2 linked regions of the Schizosaccharomyces pombe genome follow. Changing the gene in region 1 together with any one later gene gives a genetic interaction. Each region holds a gene or a part of one and is shown on either strand. Other genes may lie near its edges. The genes, in order: hse1 and sst4.

Region 1 (13,805 bases):
GATGATATTTTAAAGCAAGCTTGCGGTAAGCTTTCTTCAATTCAGCTTGAGAAGCAGTGACATCAACGTTCAAGACTTCGTATAGTTTAGTTTCTTTCACCATTATGCTTGTAATATATGTAAGGAGAACAAAAACGACAGTGGAAGAAAGGGGGTAAATAAAAAAGAAATTGGAATATTAAGAAGATAAAATATTAGAGGAGACTTTAATGGAGTCTATAATAAAGCAAAGATTCAACAATAAGTCAAATTCGTGAGAAAAGAGGAAAAAGTAAAAAAATTTCCCTTAAAAACTTTCTCAGATAAGTTTAAAAAAAATTTTATCGCTAAAATAGCAATCCACCAATTTTCTAGAAAGAAACACAAAATAATCGTTTCTTTTCAATACTTTTCTATTAAATTTCCTTTCACAAATTATCAAAATGTGAAAAGTGGTAGGAAATGGTTGAAAGAAAAGTGTGTTGTTCTTATGTTCTTGTAGCTGGTGTGTTGTTGTCAAAGGAAAATACGAGAACAAAATTTCCCTTAAATCGTAATTGTTGTGCTGAGTAAGAAAATCGTAAAAATTTCGCTCAAAATATATAAAATGATCAAAAGAAAAGAAATAATCACACAGAGATTCAAACTGCGAGTATAGAAAATCGAGTTAAAATCAAGAGATGAGAAATTTCCTTTCCTTTTATTTCTTTCCCCTTTGAAACAATAGGAAAATAAAGGATTGAATTTGTACAGTAAATAAGACTAAATAAATAAAAATGCAAATGCCAAACGATATCGCGAAAGCCGGGAAACAGAGAAAAACGTAAAAAAAAATTGAATAAAAATGCACTTCGGCAGTTAAATTTTTTTGTTTTAATTTGTTTAGGCGATCAATTTCTATTGTTTGCCTCTTTACAATTCACAAAGAAGGAGGCGGACCCTACAGGTTATTAAGGAAACGAAAATTTCTCTGTTTGCAGCCACCCAGCGAAATTTATGGAAAAAAGAAAACAGTAGAAAACTACTGATAGCGAATCTTTCGTAAAGAAGGTTGCAAACACTCTAGTATGCACGGAAGAGAAGAAAAAAAGAGAATACTAAAGAATGTATATGTTTTTTATGGATGAATGAAAAGAAAAACAATTTAAATACTGAGAAGTCAACAGAAAGATGTTTGTAAATAGTTGCAAAGGGATTTTAGTAATATTATGATTTTATTCACATTTCCATTTAACCTTAATTTTTCCCCGTAAGTAATCGAATCCTGTTGAAGATAAAAACAATTGTATAGTATAATATTGGATCAAACGGAAAGCTAGCACCACGTTTTTTACATAAGATAATGAAGATAATGAAATATTTAGTAGAAGGTAGTTTATCTATTTGTTTACATTCTTCTACATTCTACAGTACGTTGAAAAGAAACGAGATTCATAAACATCAGTCTTAGTTGACGTTTCTAATGTTTCTTCAATTCTATTTCCTAACACTACGACGCACTTGTGAAAAAAATAATTTGTATTTACATGAAAGGGACAAAGTCTTGAAAGTAGCAAAATCTCTATATTATTATTTTATTACCATAGGAAGTATGCTTATTATTTTGTGGGGGTCACGTACCTTGTGGGATTCAGCATACAATCTTTCTAGCATTATTCTTTGAACATATTGCTCCATCCCCGGTTTCCATGGAAAGTTATAGAAAGTTCCATGTGGGGGCATACACAGGTGGGATTAAAAGTCCATAATCGATTTTCCCACATGGTATTGAAAAAGCTCCAAGTGGGGGACTGACCTGAAATCTAACCATGTGGAGGTAAAGGAGTAAACAAAAGGCTAAAAGTAAATGAGAATGTGAAGTGAATTCAAAAGTAAATAATTGACTAAAATTAAAAAGAAAGAAATTAATGCATTTTGTGTAGGATAGATGGTTAATAAGTGTTTTATTCTACTGTCATAATAAACTTGTTTAATTTTCACTGCACAATTTTTTTTTTTTATTACACAAGAAAAAAATAACGAGATTGCAATTGATTTGTATTTTCTAAATATTTCATTAATTTTTTTCTTACTATTACATTCTTCAATATCAATGAATCGTTTACATTTTGTGTTTAAAAAACATTAACGAATAAATAAATAATATATGTTTCTTTTATGGGGTCAACTCAAGTTGGCTAAGCTTTTTTCTTCCCTTATTTACCTTTAAATCCTGTTTATATGCAACACAACAATTATTTATAATAATTATTTCCTCAAAAACACCTTCATAAATGACACAAACCTCTTTTATTATTTACTACACTTCTCATTCAGTATCAGCTACGCAGTTTGGTATCTATTTAACGATACACAGAACTGTGGTGAGTTTACTTGCGACCTACAATGTAGCGGTATGCGGTATGTTAACTAATAACGTATATTTATTGTTATAAGAAGTCTCTTAGTATCGGTCACCGATATAGCTCATAACTGAACTGAGGAACGAGGTTCAGCAGTAGCTCTATTTATAGTATTCAGATAATATAGATCTTAATAAATTATCATTAAGATCAATCTCAATGTCGTATCATACATAGTATGATATATAATTAGAACATGTGCCATATAGTAATACGCAACACAGTGTATCATAGAGTAGTGTATTGCTGGCATTCAGTAAACAATACGGTTCTAGTTTAAACTACGCTGGATGATATTACACTGCTTTGCAACGCTTTCTGATGGAATAGCGAGAGTAACTTTCAAACCTCTCAATTTTTGTATATAGTCATGTATCGTAACATAATGATACGTTAGTGCTTCGCTATAATTAACTTTTTTGGCACTAGTTCTCGTTATATCATTCGTCTCAATTTCTCTTCACCTTTGCTCTTTGCTTCTTCTTCGATCAATAAGCAGCGAATCATCTATACAGACTTTGCATGCTTGCTGAATATCTCGTTCATGTAGGTAGGGTAAATGTCTTTTTGGATCCAGAAACAAAAGACATCCCAAAATGCGTCGCTGACTTAAAATTCCCTTTACCCTTAACGCTTTCTAGGTCGACTCCAATTAATCCTATTATACGCTCGGATACTATTCAATTGGTAATTTCGTGTCCTCCAGTTACATATAGCGATGAAATACAGGTTCCTTGGAAGGCTATTGATTTAAATAAAGATGATGCTGTCAAAAGTACCATTAAATGTAAACAATGTCAATCTTTCTTAACAAGCATCTCTTCTTGGAAAGATCTACCATCTGCAAATTGGATGGAAATGCTAGATTGCTGGTCCTGTCATACAGATTATCCTACGGTCCTTTCCAAAAGAGGGGGTCCTTCAATGTTTCAACCTACTGATGACTGTGCTTATTTGGGTACGTCTTATGTCCTCATTCGACTACAATCCTTGGTAAGTATTTTATTTTTTTTTCTTTCCCAAATTTTCTATTCGTTCCTCTTTATTGGCTGTAATGTTCATCCATTACAGTGAGTAAGAATTTTGAATTATCCATTCTACTGCATCGTCTTCATAAATAGCCCTTTCATATAGCTGGGTGTTCTTTTTCTTTTTTTCTTTTTTTTTTTTTTTTTTAATGGGCTTAAAAGAAACCCATGGTTTCGTTTCTTCCTTCCAAACCATGGTGATACATAAGCCCTATAATAATGCAATTTTGTATTTCCATCTGTACCCCTTGTTCCAAAAGAGGGTAATTTGGATACTTTAAATAAATGCAACCTATTTCCAGGTCGCTCATTGCAGAGTCTTGGCATGATGCGGTTAAATAAGTTGTACATGATTGAACAGGAATAAAAGAAGAAGATTCACTTTCTCCTTAGATTAATCACCTTGTTATTTTTCTACAAAAGAGTTTTGACTAACAAGATTTTAGGAGGGAAAGGTTGCTTATGGACCTAACTTCAAACTTCATTGCTCCTTTTGTAACGCAGAACTTGGACTCCCAAACAATAAAGATTCGAGTAACGGCGTACGACTTGACAAGTCTAGTATATGTATTGACGATCAAAAAATTCATCCTTCCTTTATAGTTGCTTCGGAAATACTAACTTTGCGTGACATGTATGCCACTCACAAATTTGTCATTGTAGACGGCGAGCGAAGTATATGGACTTGGTGTTTCGTACCACACTTACCAATTTCTTTTCAAAAAAGTCCGTTTTCAAGCATTGAGTTTGCAAACAGTCCAATCTCTACCATAAAATTACTTTATCAACTAGAAGTTCCTCCCGATTTTACTAAAAGCTCCGAGGATTGGATGGACATACCCGTTTCAAGTCACGCCTTTGACGAAATTTCTCATGTTTTGGAAAAAGGAAATCTTTCTTTTCCGGTCTCTGCTCAAAAATTTGGTCCTTGGAAAGTCGGTTTACTGCCGAAATTTCATAAACAAATGATCTAATGTGTCATGTATCCTTTTAAATTTTTAATTGGCAATTATTTCAAAAAGTTAAATACTTTTTAATGTATCCTTTTTGAAAGAGAAATGAACCGTCTATTTTTTTGATATCTAGTTGTTATGCACATAGTATGTATATGTAAATTAATCATTTTTTTTCAATCCATTTGTTTTTGGTTTTGACCGAGCAGAAGCATATACTGCGCTGGATCCAAACACCAACAAAGCCCCAAATTTTACGGCAGGTCCCATTTCGTTTTCAAAGAGAATGAGGCTAAGACATAAACTCACAAATTTTCTGACGTTCAAAACAACACTGACTGTTAGAGCTGATGTTTCTGCCCCTAGCGCGTTTACTCCACGTACACAGAAGTACTGAGCCAACGTATTGAAGCACAAGTACCATACTCCGGAAGGTAAATTTAAAAACCCTTTCGTGTGGATTGCAAATAAATCATTCCACTGACTTCTTATGGGCCTTAAAAGGAACAAAAAGAAAGGAAGGGAAAGAGCATGAGTGTAAAATAAACTTTCACGCCAATCTGAGCCATATATTCTGTAGGTATTCTCCAATACCAATCCCATGATGGCACCAAGTATTTGAGTTATCACCAGAATAGTAAATCCAATGCCAAATCGAGTCATTGATTCTACATGCAAATGTAAGTCCTTCGCATTCCCCAACGTTGCTATTATGACACCAATAGTAAGTATGAAGACACTTCCAATTTGAAGACTTGAGTATCTTTTACCAGCTAAGATTCTGCCAACCGCCATTGTTGTTAAAGGTCCACTACTTCTTAAAATAATATGTACTGGTACTGAAATATCAAACCCCAAGGCCACATTATTCAAAACATTAATAGCAAAGAACATTACTACAACCACAAACCATCGTTTACGCGGCACCTTTGGATGTTTCAATGACTGAACGTCGTTTAGCAAAAAGTATATCAAGCCTTCAATAGTAATCAGTATAAATTGCGAGAACGTAATCAGAATACCACTGCTTGGGAATTCTCGCACGAGTGCTTCAAGCGCATATGCGTTTGAACAGCAACCTCCAAATATGAAAGACAATGCAGATGCTATCATTCTAATGCTTCCTTTGGATAATTATAGTATTTGTGAACCAATGTCAGCTTCTTGGTAATCCTAAAGTTATGGAAAATAAAAGAATCGACTGCTATATTGTAGTATACCAAAATGAACAAAAGGCTTCAACAAATAATGTCTGTTAAAATAAAAGAATGTGTAAAAAAGAATCAGTTAATTCTTATGTAACAAATATGTAAATTGAGGTCGAATTTGGCTTAAGGGAAGTGTAGAGGTGAAGACAATTAGACAATCGCGGGCTTTGCTTTCGCGCGTTTTGGTATTTATTATATTCATACATATTTTTTAGAACGCAATTTTGTAAAAAGGTTTATTCTAGTTATATTTTTATTTTTAAAATAGGATCGATGAGATTCGTTTACACCTTTGTTAAAACTAACAGTCGTGTAACCTTTAATTGAGAAAGTAAATTAAAATAAAAAAAATTGTTTTATTAAAAATATCTCAATAATTATAACCATTAAATAAAAGCATAATAACTAAGCACTTGCTTGCAAAAACATTAACTTGCAAAAAGCTGATGATTAGCTTTAAAAATTCCTCATCTCAGACATTGACTGTTCGTAAAGTTTTTCATAATCACGGCGAGCAACTAAAAGCCTTTCATTCAGATCCATGAGTTCTTCTTTCTGAGATGCGTATTTTTCAATTAATCTTACAAGCTTTGGACGCAGGGCAATCATCGCGTGATATTTTCCTTGAAGAGCATCATCATCGGCAGCATCAGGAGAGGTAGTCGATAAGGTATCAAGTAGTTCATCTATTTGAGGAAGCGCGTCAAAAACTTGCTGCTCCATATGTGCAGATTGACGTTGCTGCTCAATGGTAGGCTCAACGACTCGTTGCACATAATTGACGGGAAAGATTCCAACAGCATTTTTGCAAGAACCTTTCCACCAATCTTTATACACGCTTTCCAGGACTAATATAATATCTCCCTTTTTAAATGAAAGTTCGCCCTGCTCGGTTGCCGCGAAATCATAAAGCGCTCGAACGCGAGAAACTGTCGAAGCAGGAGAAGTAGCTAAGTTTGATTCCTGCCGTTGGTTCGTTTTCTGCAGCGGTTCATCTTTAGTGGATTGGGGGTTTTCCACTTTATTCGATTGCGCGGTCGATTCCGAAAGTGATAATGCTAAAGCATATTGAAGCTCCTCTTCTTCTCTTTTGAGTTCTAATTCATTCATCGCTTCTTTTTCTGGCTTTTTAGGAGCTCGTAAATCAACGATATCTAAGAGGTTAGATCATATTATCTTTAACTTGTCCATTCAAACGTGCATGAAACTTACCTAGCTTTCTAATTTTTTCACAAATATCTTGCATAAGACTCATGTTGGGATCTTTTTTCATTATTTCAGCCCATTCGTTGACAAGAACTGCGATTCTACTACGCACTCGGTTATGAGTTGTAGAGTCACTAGCTATTTTCAAAAGAGAATCCGTGAATGTTCTAGAGGAGATCTCTCGTACAATGGAAGTCTTACAATTTTTCACAATGGCATCAGTAAGCTAAAACAAACGTTAGATAAAGTAAATTTGCGCAATTCATTTTAAAATAGAGTGTATTGATATAAGGAACAATAAACAATTTGTAAAGCACAGACAATAGTATTCTCAGTGGTTCCAGATTGAATAATCATAAATTGATTGCTTCCTCCTCCTCAAAAGTGGTACAAACATACCGTCAAAGCCAACAATTGAATATTAGCATTCGCTGTATCCAGCCTTTTATTTAAAAATTTAATCGAGTTCCGACCACTACCAACCAGTTAGTGAAACGACTCTGATTACGATTAACTTACACATCTCCAGAAGTGCTAGATAGTTGATCGCACGCATCCATTATAACGTCCCATTTCTCTTTAGTATTCTTTTCATCAGTGGCTTGTAAAATAAGGGTCTCAATAGAGTTGGGTTTTCCTCGAAACATATTGGTGAAGAAGAGATGGCGGCGACCACTATGCTTATCCAAGACATATATATAACCTTGTAATAAATCGAGAAATTTTAGATCAATCAAATTGCTACTTGTTCTGTTAAAGGTGAATTTAATAAATTTCTATTTAGATAAATTCAAAAGCATGGTAAAGTGGTTGGTTTATATAGTCAACATTCATGGGTGCTTCTAAAAAAGAACTTGTAGCCGATTTATTATTCTTGGTTCAAAAATACGAGTCAATTTTTAAATATTCAGTAATATTTATACTTTTTGGGTTAAGCTTGGGTTCCTTTTAGAATAAAAAGACAGTTTCACTACCGAGTTGTATTTTCATGCTCAAGCAAACTGTATATTTAAAATACTGCAATACTCTAATCGGTCAAGTGTTTAGATTTTCTAACGAATGATGATGAATATAAAACTATGAAGCAACATTAAACCCTTGTCCTCATATATCAATTTGAGAATTCATTTATATATCTATTAAAACTAGTGTATTATAGTCGCAGCTTGCTGTTACTATATTTATTTCATTATTTTAAATAATATGTAAGCTCACCAAAAAGCATTACATTTCATTTAGCATTGGTTAGCATTCAAGGCTCAAACTAGGTGAATTCAATGTACGATATTTGTCGTCTAGATGATCGGTACAGTCCTTTTACATAGCTCTCTAATATACGAACAAAATACTCATAATTTGATTAATTAGACTTTTATTAAATGAAATCGTTTTTTTCTTTTTATATTCAATTAATTATGTAGTGACCTAGTCTGCTGTCAAATCTCGTACATCCTCTCCATATACCCTTGAGGTAGTTAACTTCTAGTCTAAAAAATTTGTTGATAAAGGTGCATTGCATGTATTCTTCACTACATCAGCTTTGTAATAAAGTCATTTAAGTGTCGGATTTCGAGTTTTTAATTGAAAAAGCTTGAATTTGACATTTACTCAGCAAAATATGGAAAGCAACCTTTCCGCCAAAGGTATTTTTCAACATGCAAGTGCTAATGCATCAGGGGAATTGTTTCAAGAGCCCGTAACAGAAGATCTTGAAAAGGTAATGCAGTCGAAAGGACTGTATTCGATGGAGGAGTTGTGTTCCATCATCCAAGAAGCATATGCTCCGCGAGTTTCGGTCCTATGTTCCCGAGATGCTGACGAGTTTGCCATGAGGAAGGGATATCCTAAGGGGTTTTGGGAATTGTTGTATCCTTTTGGAGACCGTATTCGTGGAAAGGTAAACCGTAGAGGAATGAATGGAGAAATGCTGACGTTGGAAAATTTAAATTTACATTTTGTCCCAATTGATGCTTTAGAAAGCCACTTAAGTGAAGCATCTTTTCCTTCACTTCGCTCGGTTTTATGTGAGCGATATCCAGGTCTTGTTTCACCTGAACCCCCTTCAGATTATTCCTTTGGCGTTCATTATAAAAACGTTGAACGATGGGCTTGGACATTGGCTCATGAAGGGAATTACCAAATGCCACTTCCTGTCTATGTGCGACAGTTACTAACTGGGATACCTATTACTCCTTTTGAAACTTTTTCTCATCCCGTTGCTCACCTTGTCGTAGTAACTTCGCATAATCCTAGTCCTTTTGAATCTCTCAGATCTTTGATTAATTCGATTCCCTACCTTTCCCTTCCTGCTTTCGTTTTCAATGATATAAACTACCTTTTCGTATATGTTCATGATGAAGATCAACATGATTTGGAGCTTTCAATGGCTATATTTGATACGATGAAGCAGACATTTGGAGATTGTGGATACTTTCTTCGCCTTCATTCACAAAAGGCTACCTTAGATTATGAACATACCGTTCCTTTTCCAACATCCTCTTGGTTGTCTGCTGAAGAACGTTTACACCTTTTATCTAATACGGATACTGAAATACGATTACTCTTTGAATCCGACAATGAATCACTGCGACGGTTATCTTCGCACATTGCGTTCAACGGAATTGTCTCTTATTTGGACAAATGCGTAAGAGCATGGGATGATCAATATGCTTCTCCGAGACGAGGGATTACCGGTAAGCTGTTATTTGCATCCAGAAAATATTTATCTAGTTCGAATGCTTCTACCAATTCTAACTATTTCCCCTCATCTAATGCCTATCGTCCATTTTCACCAGAGGCATATCTTAGGAAACTTGCCGACTATTCCTTCATGCTACGAGATTATTCTCATGCAAATCAGATTTATGAAATTGCATCAAGACAGTATGAAAATGATGGTGCTTGCTTATATTCTGCTGCCTCTCTAGAAATGATTGTAATAACTGAACATATTTTACACCTAAAAATGCCATATATGAGTTTGACGAACACATTGAGAATAAACGAGTATATGCAATCTGCTATGTTAAATTATTTGAATAAATCCTTCAATTCCTATTATCATGCTGCGCGCTGTTTCCTTCTCCTGGGACAATTCCTTAGTTGTTTACCAGCTCCAAAAGTGGACGATGCTGCTAACTGGAATGCAGGTTTGCTTTATTCTAAGAGATTGGGTCCTGTAGGAAGAGCAATGATCTTTCAACAAACTCACACTCTCTTTAAATCCCTTTCTTATTTAAAAACTGAATCTACGGACCCGTTCTCTAATAAGCGAACTCGTAAAGCCGCACTTTGGTGTGTATTAACTGCCGATGCTTGGTTGAGATGTCGCATTCCCTTTCGTGCCAAGCCTTTTGTAGAGGAAGCAAAATTGTTTTATGGAAAAATCGATTGGAAGGATTTGAAGGAGTGTGTTGCAGCACTTGACGAAGTCGAAGTCTCCAAACAACCTGCTTCTAATATTCCTTCTAGCTAGAAATGCCCCACTTTCAAAATGTATATTATTTTATTTACCAAATATCAAAATTTCTACAGGTTATTAATGTGATTATATATAGCGAAATAAACTAATAAGTTAATCTGATAATGAAAATTCGTTAAAACGAATCCAACGAAAATTAATGATTAGGACTGTGGTCCATCGGATCCCGTTTGTGAATTGGTAAGGTCAATAGTAAGAGGGGGACTAACTGAAGTGGCAGGAAAACCGTTAGATGTAGAAGGTTCGGTGGAAGATTCAACAGCAGTGTTCCTCAATGAATCATTTTTGTTAGTTGTTGATTGTTTTGCACGGTTGATGAGATCAGCAAAATCCTCAGCGTATGCCTTCTCCCAATCGCCCCCTCCTAGTTTTTCTTTTTCTACTCCAATTGATTTCGACTGAACGCGCTCCCAATCTATAAGTTGGCGAATTAAATTTCTTTTTGAAACAGGTTGTTTCTGGTCTAAATTAGAATTGTAAAGGGTAACCCATTTAGCATGTCGACGTTGTAATAGTTGTTTATGTCCATCGGTTGGAAGCCCCATCTCTGATAATTTGGAACGAATTTTTGATTCGGAAAGGAGTGCATAAGTTAGTTTGGGAAGCCGCACTCGATCTTTCAAGGGTAGTTCATCTGCAGAGTTAAACGACCTTAACCTGCGCTTCGTGATAGAATCATCATCTGTTTTGAATGATAGTAATGAATTAGATTTACTATTATCCTTATTTTTATAAGGTGAGGAAGAGGAAGACGGGGAAGAAGGTGAGTTAAGACAAGAATCCAAGTGTTGATTAATTTGATTATGAGGAACTAAATTTGAACATGCAGGGCAGTGAACTAAATCCTCACGTTTCCTCTTTTTAGAATCCCTAGATGTCTTTTTAGCTATAGAAGCAGGAGATGAATTTGAAGCCAAGTCGTCTTCCCATTCCTCATCGCCAGAAGCTGAATCCTGTGCGATAACTGTTTCAGGAGCTTGAAGTACTGGCTTTGGCACATTTTCTACTTTTAAGAATTCAAACAATGTTGGCCTGATCACTTTAAAGGACTCTAAAATCTCTTCTAATATAGTGTTTTTTCTTAAGCGGCTTTCTTGCTCAGGAGCACGACAAGCAGGGCACATAGGATGTTCTCTCAGATAATCGCGTATACAAAACGAACAAAAGGTGTGTGAGCAAGAAGTAATTAAGGGGGCGCGAAAGTATTCATGACAAATCAGACATCGTAAAGAAGAATCCAAGCCCTTCAACGATGGTATTTTCGTTTGGTTCCAATCAGATGGATCTGTAGCATCTAGTTCATTCATCTTATTTTAAATTGCAAACCCATTAATAGTTAATATGCACTAATATTCAAACTTAATTAGGGATTCGTAAGAGCACTCTCGGACGGTAAATTTTTAAACCTTAGACACATCGATATGTAAATGAATATGTATATTCATATACATTATTACATTTAAAGAACAAATGTAAAGAACCTGTTTCTAAACGTACTTACAGATTCTTACCCTCGATACCAGAAGTTGGCGAATGCAAAACCTAACTCACCACCAAATTTATCTATAAAGGATTTTTGAAATTTGCACTCTTGTAATTTCAATTTTGGGGCTCGGTCAGAAATGGCAGACGTTGCAAAGTTTTTAGATCGAGTTGAAGGAAGTTTAAACAGAGTAAGTTTTAGCATTTTATTGACATTGCATGTGAAGATTTCTAGATGTACCTTAGTAGGTTGATTCGATTTATCTTATTCTCAGAATTTTTTTTTTTTTTGTTTATACAGATTATATACTACAATGAAACAATAGAATAACTTTGCCTATGCGTATATTACTTGCTAATCAAACAAAGTCGATGAATTCTAACCTTTACTTAGGGACGTGAGATTGACAGAATATTGTCTTCCTTTAAATTAAATGCATATGATGTTCTTGATATTTTGCCAGGAATGAGTGTTGATGATATTCGAAATTTGTACAGGAAAAAATCATTAATGATTCATCCAGACAAAAATCGCGATAACCCAAAAGCTGCAGACGCATTCGACATTTTAAAAAAGGCGGAGTCTGATCTAGTTAATGATAAGATTCGGGAATCTCTTGATTCGGCTTACACAGCTGCAAGGAACCAACTATTGAAAGAAAAAAAATTGTCTCCAAATTCGGAAGACGTCCATTCAGACCAGTTTTTATTTGATTTAAAAGTACGTTGGCGTGAAATCCTTATTGCAGATGAAGTTGCAAGAAGACGAGCACGGCAGCTCGATTTAGCAAACCAGCAAAGAGAACAAGCGCGTCAAGATGAAATTGCAAGAGAACGAAAGCGTCGTGTAGAATCAGAAAAGGTTTGGGAAGAGACAAGAGATAATCGTGTGGGAAATTGGCAGGATTTCCTTCACAAAACGAAGAAAAATAACTTAAAAAAGAAGAATAAAAAACCAAGGGTTCTTGGATAAAAGACGAAGTTACGCGTTTTATTGTACATTAAAGCTTCGACGACTTAACCTCTTTTAGTATTTGTACATGACCTATGCGATTGAAATGATTTAATATGAAGTTTTCAACAATTTATAAATTGAAATTTCTTTTCATGCTACGTGAGCAGATTACCATTAAGTAAACTAATCAACAAATTCTACTGAAATTTGCTTTTCGACAGTGATATGTATCAGTATCGTAATAGAATTAATATGAATGCCGTTTAACCATGGTAACTGCTTTGTATATTTACAGCGTTCTATGGCATATATTCCTAATGGGTGCATGTAAAGAAAGAGAATGATTGCCCTACCCACTGTCGAATAAACAACAAACTAAAGATGTTTGTATGTACAAGGCTTTTTGGAGGAAAAAGTCCTTAAAGAGAGAATAAGACCAAGAGCTTCCTTTTTTTCCTGGCATAGCATTAAAGCGCACCAACTGAAGAAACAAGCATCATCCTAACGTGCATCCCATTATGAGTTCGTATACCAAGTTAAAAAAAAGAGGGCAGAATAACACTAAAATTACTAATTATGTCTTGATCATATGTTTAAAAGAGATAAAAAGAAATAAGAATAAAGAAAAAACGCGACCATCATTATATATGTAAGTGAAAAGGGGCAGCGATTTAAATAAAGAAGAGAGAGGACTGTAAAACATGGTTACTGTGCTCAGGAATTTTTTTACAAAGTAAGGGAGCTTAATCAACATGATCGTCTGCATGTGCCAAAGGACCTTCTTCAGCACCCTGATCATCTGGTTGCGTGAATCCAGCAGTCTGATACTTTTTAGCCTCTTCAAGCTCTGCGGCCTCCCTTTCTTTCCTTTCGCGTTCCATTTCAGCCATAATACGCTTATCATCATCGCTAGGTTCATAAATATGCCAAATAACATAGTGAGGAAGTCCGTAAACGGAAAACCCCATCCGCTTAGCCATTTTTCCAAATCCTTCGGTTTCAGCATGCTTTTCAAATGAAAATGCGGGAAACTCGCAACCTTCTAGGTGTACTTTAGCTTTAGACATAATAGATACACCACCAATACCATCCAGTGGCATTTCAACAGATG
Region 2 (10,101 bases), on another chromosome or scaffold:
GTAAAAGGGTCGGAAAGACATTGTCATCTTTTAAACGAATTTGAATTAAATCGTACAAGAATTCCTCTTTCAATGATTTTTTTTTTGAAACTATGATACCACGCTTTGGCGGATTGACGAAGTGTAAAGCATTTTCTAGTACAAGCTGATCTTGAGAGGCAAGCGCAGAAGCCAATTTTTTTTTCTGAATGGCTTCTAAAAACGATTGCATTTGCAACTTGGTTTCCGGATAACGAAGAAGAAATCTCCCACAACTTTCTAAAAGTAATGCTAAAACTTCCAAGTCAAATGGTGTAAACTCATTTATACACAATTTATAGCATTCAAAAACCATGTGGAAAGGCATCAACTGAAATTTAGTAAGTTCAGAAATATAACGAACAATAAGCAATCTAGTATCGTATTCGTGCTTAGCTTTTCGATGAATCATCCTTTTGAACGAATGTCTTGCATGATCTACCAATGAAGTGGAAAACTCTGATGAAAGTTGAGAAAGAATACGTGCTAATCGAACATAATAAGGAACAAGGAAAGACGATGTCCTAGGGATAGTGCACAAAGCCTTTATAAGTCGATTCCTAGATGCCTTTGTATTTAAGTCGTAAAACTCCAAGGCCATTTCATTCGTGAGTTCTAAGGAAACCATGGAGGGTAATTTTAGCAAGAAGTTATCAACTCTTGAGCTTACTTGCGTTGTATTTAGATCGCCCGTTGAGTCCTTAAGATCATCTTCTTTTTTATTGTTTTCAGATGAAGAACGAATACCTTCCTGACTGGATTCGTAAATGCTACTTTTCATTTCAGCTATAGAACCTTCATTAAAATTTGGGAACACCTCGTAAAAAAAATATTGCTCTCTATCATCCCAAACTTGAGCCGTTTCAACATTGGCAGACTCACTCCTTTCGCCTGATGCATTAAACACGCTATTAGTTCCAGAGGAAGCCTTTTCCATAAAGTTGAGTTCCAAGAGATCTTCGGAAGCTTTTCTATTCAATACTTCTGAAAGAGAAGCATAAGAAGAAAATTCAGACTCGATCGATTTTGAAAAGTTAGCAAGGCGCTGGAATTTTTCATTGTTTGGATCTGCCCTTATAATGCTTTGCTCTTGATATTGTTTGTTTAATTCTTCAAAAAGAGATTTTCGCTTTTGGCAGTAGACCTCTAATTTGTCTACGTAGGAATTCAACGACTTTCTTAAATAAGTCCTCCACACAACCGGATTAAGGCGATTAACTAGTTCTAAAGTTTCTTTATCTTCAAAATCCTCTGTAGTGAAAAGTTCGCAAGAAAAAGTCCTCACCAAAGATGTCAAAACCGGTAACAAGAGAAACCCAAATCTTGTGTCCATAAGGTCATTGAATAGCAGAACCACCAAGGGTTTTTTTAAATTTTGCTCTTCAAACCATGGCTTACGAAACTTTTTATCATTCGAATCAGTAGAAGGTAAATAAGAGACGAAATCCTCAGGAGTGCCAACAACACCATTTAACCAAAACTCAATCAAAAACCTAAGGAGCGGTCTAACTTTGAGTAAATGAGAGGAACGGTCCTTTTCGGAAACTTCGTTTTCATTTTGCTTTAGTTCAAAGTATGATTCGTGACACAATGAGTATCCTGGGTTTGGGTATAAAGCACAGTATAAGTTGGCCAGCATGGGTCCAGTAAAAGCCGTGGAAAAACGCAGATTAAGAGCCCAAACAATTTTGACTGACGACAGTATGTCTTTAGTAGCTTTACATTTCATCATTCCTTCTACGATGGCGGCGGTAATTTCAGGAATGAACTTTTTCAAAGACAGGGTTTTTATTTCCTTTATAAAGGAATCGTAATTTTCAGAAGTTAATGAGGACTTACATCTTTTCATAAATGCTGTATTTTTCTTTAGAGAAGAATCCAGCTGGCTCTCAGTATGAAATATATTTTTGTCACCATCTTTGGCTCGGAAGGCAAGCTCTCTATTATCCAAATATTGATTAAGTTTTTTTATTTGTTCTTCTCTTGACATAATTTAACGAAATTGCATTGAAAAGCACTTCAATTCTCATATCTTGTTTAGAACACTAGTCGACGATAGTTGGCGTAAAGTGAGTAGATAAATTTGACACATGTCCTCTTCCACAACGAAATAATATTGTAAAGTAACTATGGCAAGTATCTTAAATTATACTGGTTTTTTTTTTTAAAAAAGAATAAACAGTATTGGATTATATTTTAGTTGCATAAATGCTATATTGTTGCTGCAGTTTCATATATTAGAGGAATAAATCAATTGGGGATGATTAGAAGCAATAGGAGGTTTGTGCATTGGTACAATTTAAACATAATTTGTTAGGCATGAAGAATAAAACAGTTAATACAGGTAGATGTATGCATCATCTTGATAAGGACCTTTTATGATTGACGAAAATATATCTACGGTTTCCACTTTTACGCTTACTGTTGATGTGTAACAATCTTAAATAAAAAGGAAAAAAAGGTAACAGTAGCAATTTATTGAAGCTATTAAGTGTGCTAACAGAAATTCAATACAATTGTTGATACTCAGAAAGGGTAATTAAGCAATACTCAGAAAACCATGTATTGCCTTCGAATAAATAAAACACTTTTATAAATAAATATCATATTCAACAAAAAATTGCTCAGATCGTTAAAACATTAGTCTAGGATACGAGAAATGTTTCTCTCCTTGTAGGTAGCAGCCTTTCCAGTATGATCGTTCAATATTTCATAACGAGTCTCCTCTCCGCTATCGTTTTTAATCACCTGCTGGATAACTCCTGTTGAGGTGCTGGTACCGCTAGGGCCACCAATCTTAAACCATTTGTTAATACTTAATCACAGTCGAAAAACTTCAAGACACAATTCGGTACACAAAATACAGTGTACTTAACTGACATGCCTGAATCAAAAATTCCTACTTACAGGATGGTATTCGACTTTGTTTCCTTTAGAATATTTGGTCATTTTTTAAACGATATGAATATTTATGATTTTAGTATGCAAACCTCCAAATTATATAGTTTTTTTATTATGAAAGTGGCAACTAAACCTCTTAAACAATTGCACATAATGTTGTCGTGAGTAAGACGTAAACCATCTAGACGTAATCAATGCCTTTGATAATTTTTGTGTGAAATCTGATACATGCAACCCTGCAGTACAACGTAGCACGTTTCATCACTTCGTGAAGACACATGGATAAATCGTTCATCATCCAACACTTCCATTTGAGAAGAAGCGGCGATTGACATAACTATAGTGAACGTAATAAATTGTGATTGAAAACCAAGTTAGTCTTGTTTTTTTACGTGGCATCGAAGTTATATCTATAGAAATGTAGTATAGAAAAAAAATGTGTGAGATTGAAAGATAGATAGATATTAATTCATTCCAACTTTTAAAACAATGGTAGTTTAGCGTAACGATTTTTCGTCATATTTACTCATCAACGAGAATAATTTTTCCCATTGAAAGTTATCTGGATGAGACCGGAGTTCGCTCATGAGGTTGCAAATACGAGGTTAGATTAAATCGACTTTCTCATTACTACCAGCATAAGAAAAGTGATCCTAAGCATTTTTTAAAACATTAGTGAACTTTTCGAATCAATGTACAGTGTTCCTACTTCGCACTTTAAAAGATTTAGTTGGGTAGGAAAAACAATGTCAATCCTAACAGTAATTAAACGGATGTAGAATTTGGAAAATCGACAAACATTGTCATAGTCAACTTTTTTATATGAATGTGTTTCCAATTCCCAATATTCTGGGTTCATACAAGGCTAATCCTTCATCAATAAGCTTCAATTACCTATCCTTGTTTATTATCGAGCATTTTCAGAACCTGGTAAAAGCTTCTAAAAATTCAAAAAATCGGTCACTCTTTTTTTTGGTTCGTGAATTATATTTTTGTTTTGCTTCCCCTAAAACGTTTGATGTGAAAGTTAAATAATACGGATAGTAAATTTTCTAAAATATCTCTTCTTCTGCCTTCAGCTACTTGGCTGTTTGGATGGATAAGTTATAAACCAATTAAATTTTTAGAAAAGAATATTTAACTATAGTAGTATACTTAGTCGGATAAACCTTTTTCTACTGTAGTTTAACCAACAATGTTTTACAAAGATTTTCAGTGCTATAATGCGATTAGGTTGTAAGTGTAATTTTATTTAAAAGTCTAAACTTATGATCATATTAAAATACGCACATTTCGTATATATACGTGCTCAGTTGATTAGTGAAGACGAACATATAAATGATGAACGCTATAGAACAAAAAGTATTAAACTGAGACAAGTGTTTGCTACACAGTTTGGTATCCGATTTAAGGATACGTAGAACTGCGGTGAGTTTTCCTTGTGGTCTATTATATTACAATACACAGGTTGTATAAGTAGCAACTGAGTATAGGTATTGTATTAACTGGGTTATAATGTTACCTATCACTAATATAGCTCATAACTGAACTGAGGAACGAGGTTCAGCAGTAGCTCTATTTATAGTATTCAGATAATATTGATCTTAATAGATTATCATTAAGATCAATCTCCATATCGTATCATACATGGTACGATATATAATTAGAACATGTGACATATAGTGATACGCAACGTAGTGTATCATAGCGTAGTGTAGTATTGCTGACATTAGTTCGCGACCTATCCCCATGCAAAAAATATTTTCGGCATTAGTGTTAAGAACGAGGTGCATACAACTTTCGCATTGCAAACAGCTAGTTGCATACTGCAAGTGTAATTTTTTTTAATTTAATAATTTAAGATGCTTCGTCGTGCTGTTAGGGAAAGAAGACAGTTCATTTATAAGAGAAATCAAGAACTTCAAGAAGCAAAACTCAATGAAAAACGACGTGCATTAAGAAAAGCATTGGAAGGTAACAAAGAATTGAACAAAGATTTGCAGGAAGACAGTCAACTTCAAAAGGATTATAAATATGATGAAAGCAGAGCAACTCAAGAAGAGACAGAAACCAACCTTGACGATGAGTACCACCGTCTGGGTGAGAGGGAGCCAAAAGTTTTAGTTACCACCAGTCGAGAGCCCTCATCTCGTCTAGCGCAATTTGCAAAAGAAGTACGTCTCTTGATTCCCAACTCATATCGACTCAATCGTGGTAATATCGTTGTCGGAAGCTTGGTAGAAGCCGCTCGTGCCAATGATATTACCGATATAGTCATTTTGCACGAACACAGAGGTATCCCTGATGGTCTTGTAATTTCTCATCTTCCTTATGGTCCTACCTTGTCATTTTCTTTACATAACGTGGTTCTTCGTCATGATATCCCTAATACTGGTACCATGTCAGAAGCGTATCCACATCTTATTTTTGAAAATTTGACTTCAAAGTTGGGAAAGCGCGTTAAAACAGCTCTTTCTGCTTTATTTCCTCCAGACCCTAAAGATACTACACCACGTGTGGTTACATTTGCTAACACTGATGATTATATCAGTTTCCGTCACCACATTTACGCCAAAACAGGCCCAAAGCAGATTATTCTATCTGAGGCTGGTCCTCGCTTTGAGATGAAACTATTTGAAATTACCCTCGGCACCGTTGATATGGTAGACGCTGATGTGGAATGGAAATTGAAGCCTTACCAGCGTCACAAACGTGATGTTTTAGCTGAATGAGCGTAGGTATGATGGGTATGGTCAAACGGTTATTTTAGGTTCATTTGGGATACAGGTAAATAATTACAATTCTTTTATGTATAGGCAAGGCCATTAGAGTGAATGGTATCTTTGATAAATAAGGAGGCAAAACTTTCTAGTATTAGTGGTTAATGGTTATACTATTCAAAACATTAGTGAAGTAGAACATATATCAGTAGCGATTGTACTTGGGTTCCTTTTTTATATTTTAATTAGTTTACTTGAGCAATGTTTATGTACAGCTTAAAGTTTAAGCACTGTATTTGTCTTTTTAAAAATACCAACCTTTTAACTTCGGACCTACGTTATTATGGTGAATATTCCAACCAAATGACATTCCATATTTTTCGCTAAACTTCTATTTTTTTGATTTCTTGATTTTCTTCTTCTTGTATTGCTTTTCAACTTCATCAATTTGGGCATCGGCAGCTTTTATTAGTTTTTCAGCAAATTCCGGATCGGTAATTTCTTTGCGTGAATATTCAACTATCGAACATTCATTTACAAGGACGGGTTGAGTAATCGAAGCAAATTCGGGACTGCAAATAGCATGAAAAAATGATTGAGCACCATGAATAGTACCTTTCAGAAGAAGCCACCAAAACGGCCAAAGTAACAAATAAAGAAATAATCCCCAAACCTTTCCAAAGGATACAACTCTTCGAAATCCTGGAGTTCGAACGACACCTGGATTTGCCATGATGGTATGTAAATTACACGGCATTTTGTCAGGTCGTTCATGAGCTTCAGCTTTTTTCTGAAAATCATAAAGATAAGTCATCAAGGCAAGTTTGGCATTTCCCACTACCTTCCAGGGACTTTTTCGAGGATATGGATGATTAGATAAATCAAGATCGTTGAAATCTATATTACCTAAAATATATGATGAACAGGTAGCTGCAACAATTCGTACTTCCCTGTGCCCGGGCTGACCATATATAACTGGGCGGAGAATCCTAAGTAGCTGGTATGGACCTAAGAAATTTGTAGCCCATTGCAACTCAACACCTTCCTCGGTAGTTTGCCTATCCATAAATGGAGGCAGTAAAACTCCACTGCACAAAACTATCATATCCAGCCTACGAATAGGAGTGCAATCAATCCACTTTGTAGCGAACTTCCTAACAGATAACATAGAGCTCAAGTCACAGACTTCAGTATAAATTAGTTGGTTTTTTGTACGCTTTCTAAGGTCCATTATGTAATCTACAGTAAATTGATCTGGCTCTGTACGAAGTAGAATAACAACTTGAGCTCCCAGAGAAGCTAATTTCTCTACGACAACTTGTCCTATTCCAGAACTTCCCCCAGTGACCATGACTACCATTCCGTTCATTTTACGCTCCCAAGTTGTTGTTCGTCCAGAAGTCCAGAATTTAAAGGCCGCAATTGTTGAAACCGCAATCGCAGCCTTTGTATATTGAGCCCAATGTGTAATTAGATGCTCATACTTAAATTGTGCTATGTGAGCAATAATTGGAATAGGCATATTTCGTTGATTTACAAAATCTGTTGATGGAGTTGGCAAAAGGCAGCTACATACCACTGACATTGAGGTATACTAAACTCGTCTTCATATTTAATTCTTAACAATCAAAAATTTAAAACTTTTTTTTATACAATTGTTTTAACTTTAGATGGATTTAATTGTACAATTATTTAATCGCTTGACTGCTAGTGCATATTACTAATAGCAACTAGCTCCATAAATTTGACAAAGATAGGATTGAATTGTTTTTGTATATATACATAATGTAATTTATGGACCGTAAAACAGATTGCTTACAAATTGGAAAGTAAAATAGACTGTTTATATGATATATATGTGAAATTTGAAGATATACTAAATACTTGTTTTAACATAGGAAAATTAAGTATGTGTATACTACAACATTTGACATATTATTTTTTATAATATTTCAAGAAACACTGTGATAGTATATAATTCGCATAGCAAATATAAATTATTACGGTCTGTCTTATTAGCACCTACCAGAAGTACAGCACTCAATGGTGAGGTATCGTTTTCCTTCTTTGCTTATTTATGGTACCTTCAAAAAGGCTGAAACTACATTGCACGCTTTAGCTTGATCTACCTAATGAGTCTATAAACATCATCGATATTTACGACAATTAGTGTTCTCTCAATACTTGCTTTACTATATTTGCCGCTCTGCACTATCAACCGTTATACCGAGATGTGCTAAGCTGCCCGCACTATTACTTAGCAAGTTTGAGCCACGAACAATCTGTTATTGCTGTCGAGAACCAAACTCTTTCTCAAATTGAATTTTATTGGAAAGGAGGATTTACAATACATTATTTTGCCATAATTTCAAACAATCAGAAGAATTGTGCCAAAGTTGTTATACTTCACCTGCTGCTTTTGTTTATTAGGAATTTTTGAAGGCCATTGGTTATTTGTTTGGTGACAATTTAGCTTACAAATAATAAAAAGATTTCTTTTGTTTCTTAATTTCGGTTTTTCTTTTCTTCTCTATTTTCATAACGATGTCTCGGTGGTGGAATTCCAATTCTCAGTTTGCTTCCGACATAGAAAAGGCTACATCGGAAACGCTTCCTGCTGGCTCTGAAGAAATTTCATTATATTTAGAAATTTCTGATCAAATACGTAGTAAGTCTGTTGATCCGAAATTTGCTATGCGTATTCTTAAATCCCGAATTGATCATTCGAATCCGAATGTTCAAATAATGGCATTGAAGTTGACAGATACCTGCGTTAAAAATGGGGGTTCCGGTTTTTTATTGGAAATAGCTTCTAGAGAGTTTATGGATAATTTGGTATCTATTCTACGATCTCCTGCAGGAATAGACGAAGACGTTAAAATGGTCATTTTACGATACATTCAGTCTTGGGCTTTGGCAGTTCCAGATACCAATTCTCCACTTAGTTATATTATTCATGTTTATCAAAATTTAAAAGACGGTGATTATGAGTTCCCTGAGCCTTCTCAGAACATTACTAGCAAATTTTTAGATACTGAAACACCGCCCGATTGGACAGATAGTGAAGTTTGTCTTCGTTGTCGTACACCTTTTACATTCACTAATCGTAAACACCATTGTAGAAATTGCGGTGGCGTGTTTTGCAATCAATGTTCTTCAAAAACACTTTCTCTTCCTCACCTTGGAATTAACCAGCCTGTTAGGGTATGCGACAGTTGTTATTCATTACGTACGAAACCCAAAGGTTCCAAATCAAGAGCGCGAAATGAAAGGAAATTCCATGCGAAGACTAGAAAGACACCCTCTAAACCCGTAACTAATAATGAAGACGAAGATATCAAAAGAGCTATTGAGCTTTCCCTCAAAGAAATGCCTCAATCACGAGAACCTCCATCTTATGAAAGACCTTCAGAGGCCAATGTAGTTATTAGTCAAGACCAACATCTTACAGAAGACGAAGATGAAGAGCTTAAACGTGCTATTGCTATCAGCCTTGAGGAAGCACAGAAGTCATCTCAAAAGGATGACAATGTTACGGCACCTAACAATATGAATATTTCTTACCCTAGTGTTCCAGCTCACACCGTTTCAACTGATATTCGATCATCTCCTTTCTCTGGTAGGCCGAGTGATAATCCTTCTACTTTAATTTCTACTGCGGATGCTGATAACATCACTTTATATGCTACTTTGGTGCAAAAGTTAAAAAAGCTACCACCTGGGTCTATTTTTACGGAATATCAGCTACAGGAACTCCACGAAAATATGGGTGTTATGCGAACTCGTATGATGCGATCGCTTGGTGAAACAATGAGTAAATATAACGGGCTAATTCAAGCTTTGCAAAAGCTCCAAACTTGTATGCGATTGAATGATGCTCTAATAGAACAAAGACTTTCATCCACGTATGCACATCATTATATTGATTCTAGCATGGATTCAAACCGATCAATTGAACCTGAGCCGGATGTAATTAGCACTGTGAGGAATAGTTCAACCATTCCCCAGGCTTCGTCTTCTTCTGTCCCGAAAATCGTTGTCGATTCGTCTCCGGTAACAGAAAATCCCCCTAGTCATTCTGATGTGATGGGTCAGAAAGATACTATCTCCAGTTATTACTCGACGGATACAGACGTTTCTGCGAATGTAATGGGAAATCGACACGATGAAGTTGTATTTTCTGACACCGCATCTGGTGAAAAGAATACAAAATTAAATATCGATGAAAGTACCAACTATTATAATACTGATTCAATCGATAAAGTTGGAGAGCCTTTTGACGAAATTTCCTCTGGTTATGATGATTTAATGAATGGCAATGATAAGCAAGGTAATGATATTCCTGAAGTTCAAGAAGCATCTTTAATCGAGCTTTAGGTTTTAAACATCTTATAATACATATTAAATACTTAGATCAATTTATCGACAATGCATGTCTGTTTACGATCCTTTTAATATTTTT

Evidence for each region.
Region 2: of hse1 (region 1) and sst4, changing one enhances a phenotype caused by changing the other (phenotypic enhancement), as found in Schizosaccharomyces pombe (one study listed by BioGRID).

What each region holds. Positions count from the first base shown.
Region 1 is NC_003423.3:1,068,017-1,081,821, reverse strand, and holds hse1 (ESCRT-0 subunit protein HSE1), read right to left. Parts: upstream 7,444-13,805; 5' UTR 7,424-7,443; coding exon 7,296-7,423; exon of another isoform or gene 7,252-7,295; coding exon 7,176-7,251; intron 7,003-7,175; coding exon 6,783-7,002; intron 6,725-6,782; coding exon 6,027-6,724; 3' UTR 5,869-6,026; downstream 1-5,868. Other genes in the region: DNAJ domain-containing protein Mas5, read right to left, coding at 1-103; ipa1 (mRNA processing protein), read left to right, coding at 2,904-3,374, 3,856-4,383; yea4 (NST UDP-N-acetylglucosamine transporter), read right to left, coding at 4,525-5,475; TRAPP III complex subunit Trs8502, read left to right, coding at 8,395-10,251; rhp18 (postreplication repair E3 ubiquitin-protein ligase), read right to left, coding at 10,401-11,564; DNAJ protein Spf31, read left to right, coding at 11,880-11,930, 12,134-12,712; mannan polymerase I complex subunit Anp1, read right to left, coding at 13,438-13,805. UniProt on the Schizosaccharomyces pombe protein: Component of the ESCRT-0 complex which is the sorting receptor for ubiquitinated cargo proteins at the multivesicular body (MVB).
Region 2 is NC_003424.3:2,469,936-2,480,036, forward strand, and holds sst4 (ESCRT 0 complex subunit sst4), read left to right. Parts: upstream 1-7,935; 5' UTR 7,936-8,183; coding exon 8,184-10,016; 3' UTR 10,017-10,096; downstream 10,097-10,101. Other genes in the region: nonsense-mediated decay protein Upf2, read right to left, coding at 1-2,008; protein prl65, read right to left, coding at 2,659-2,814, 2,926-2,967; U3 snoRNP-associated protein Imp4, read left to right, coding at 4,782-5,651; pbr1 (putative dehydrogenase), read right to left, coding at 6,031-7,161.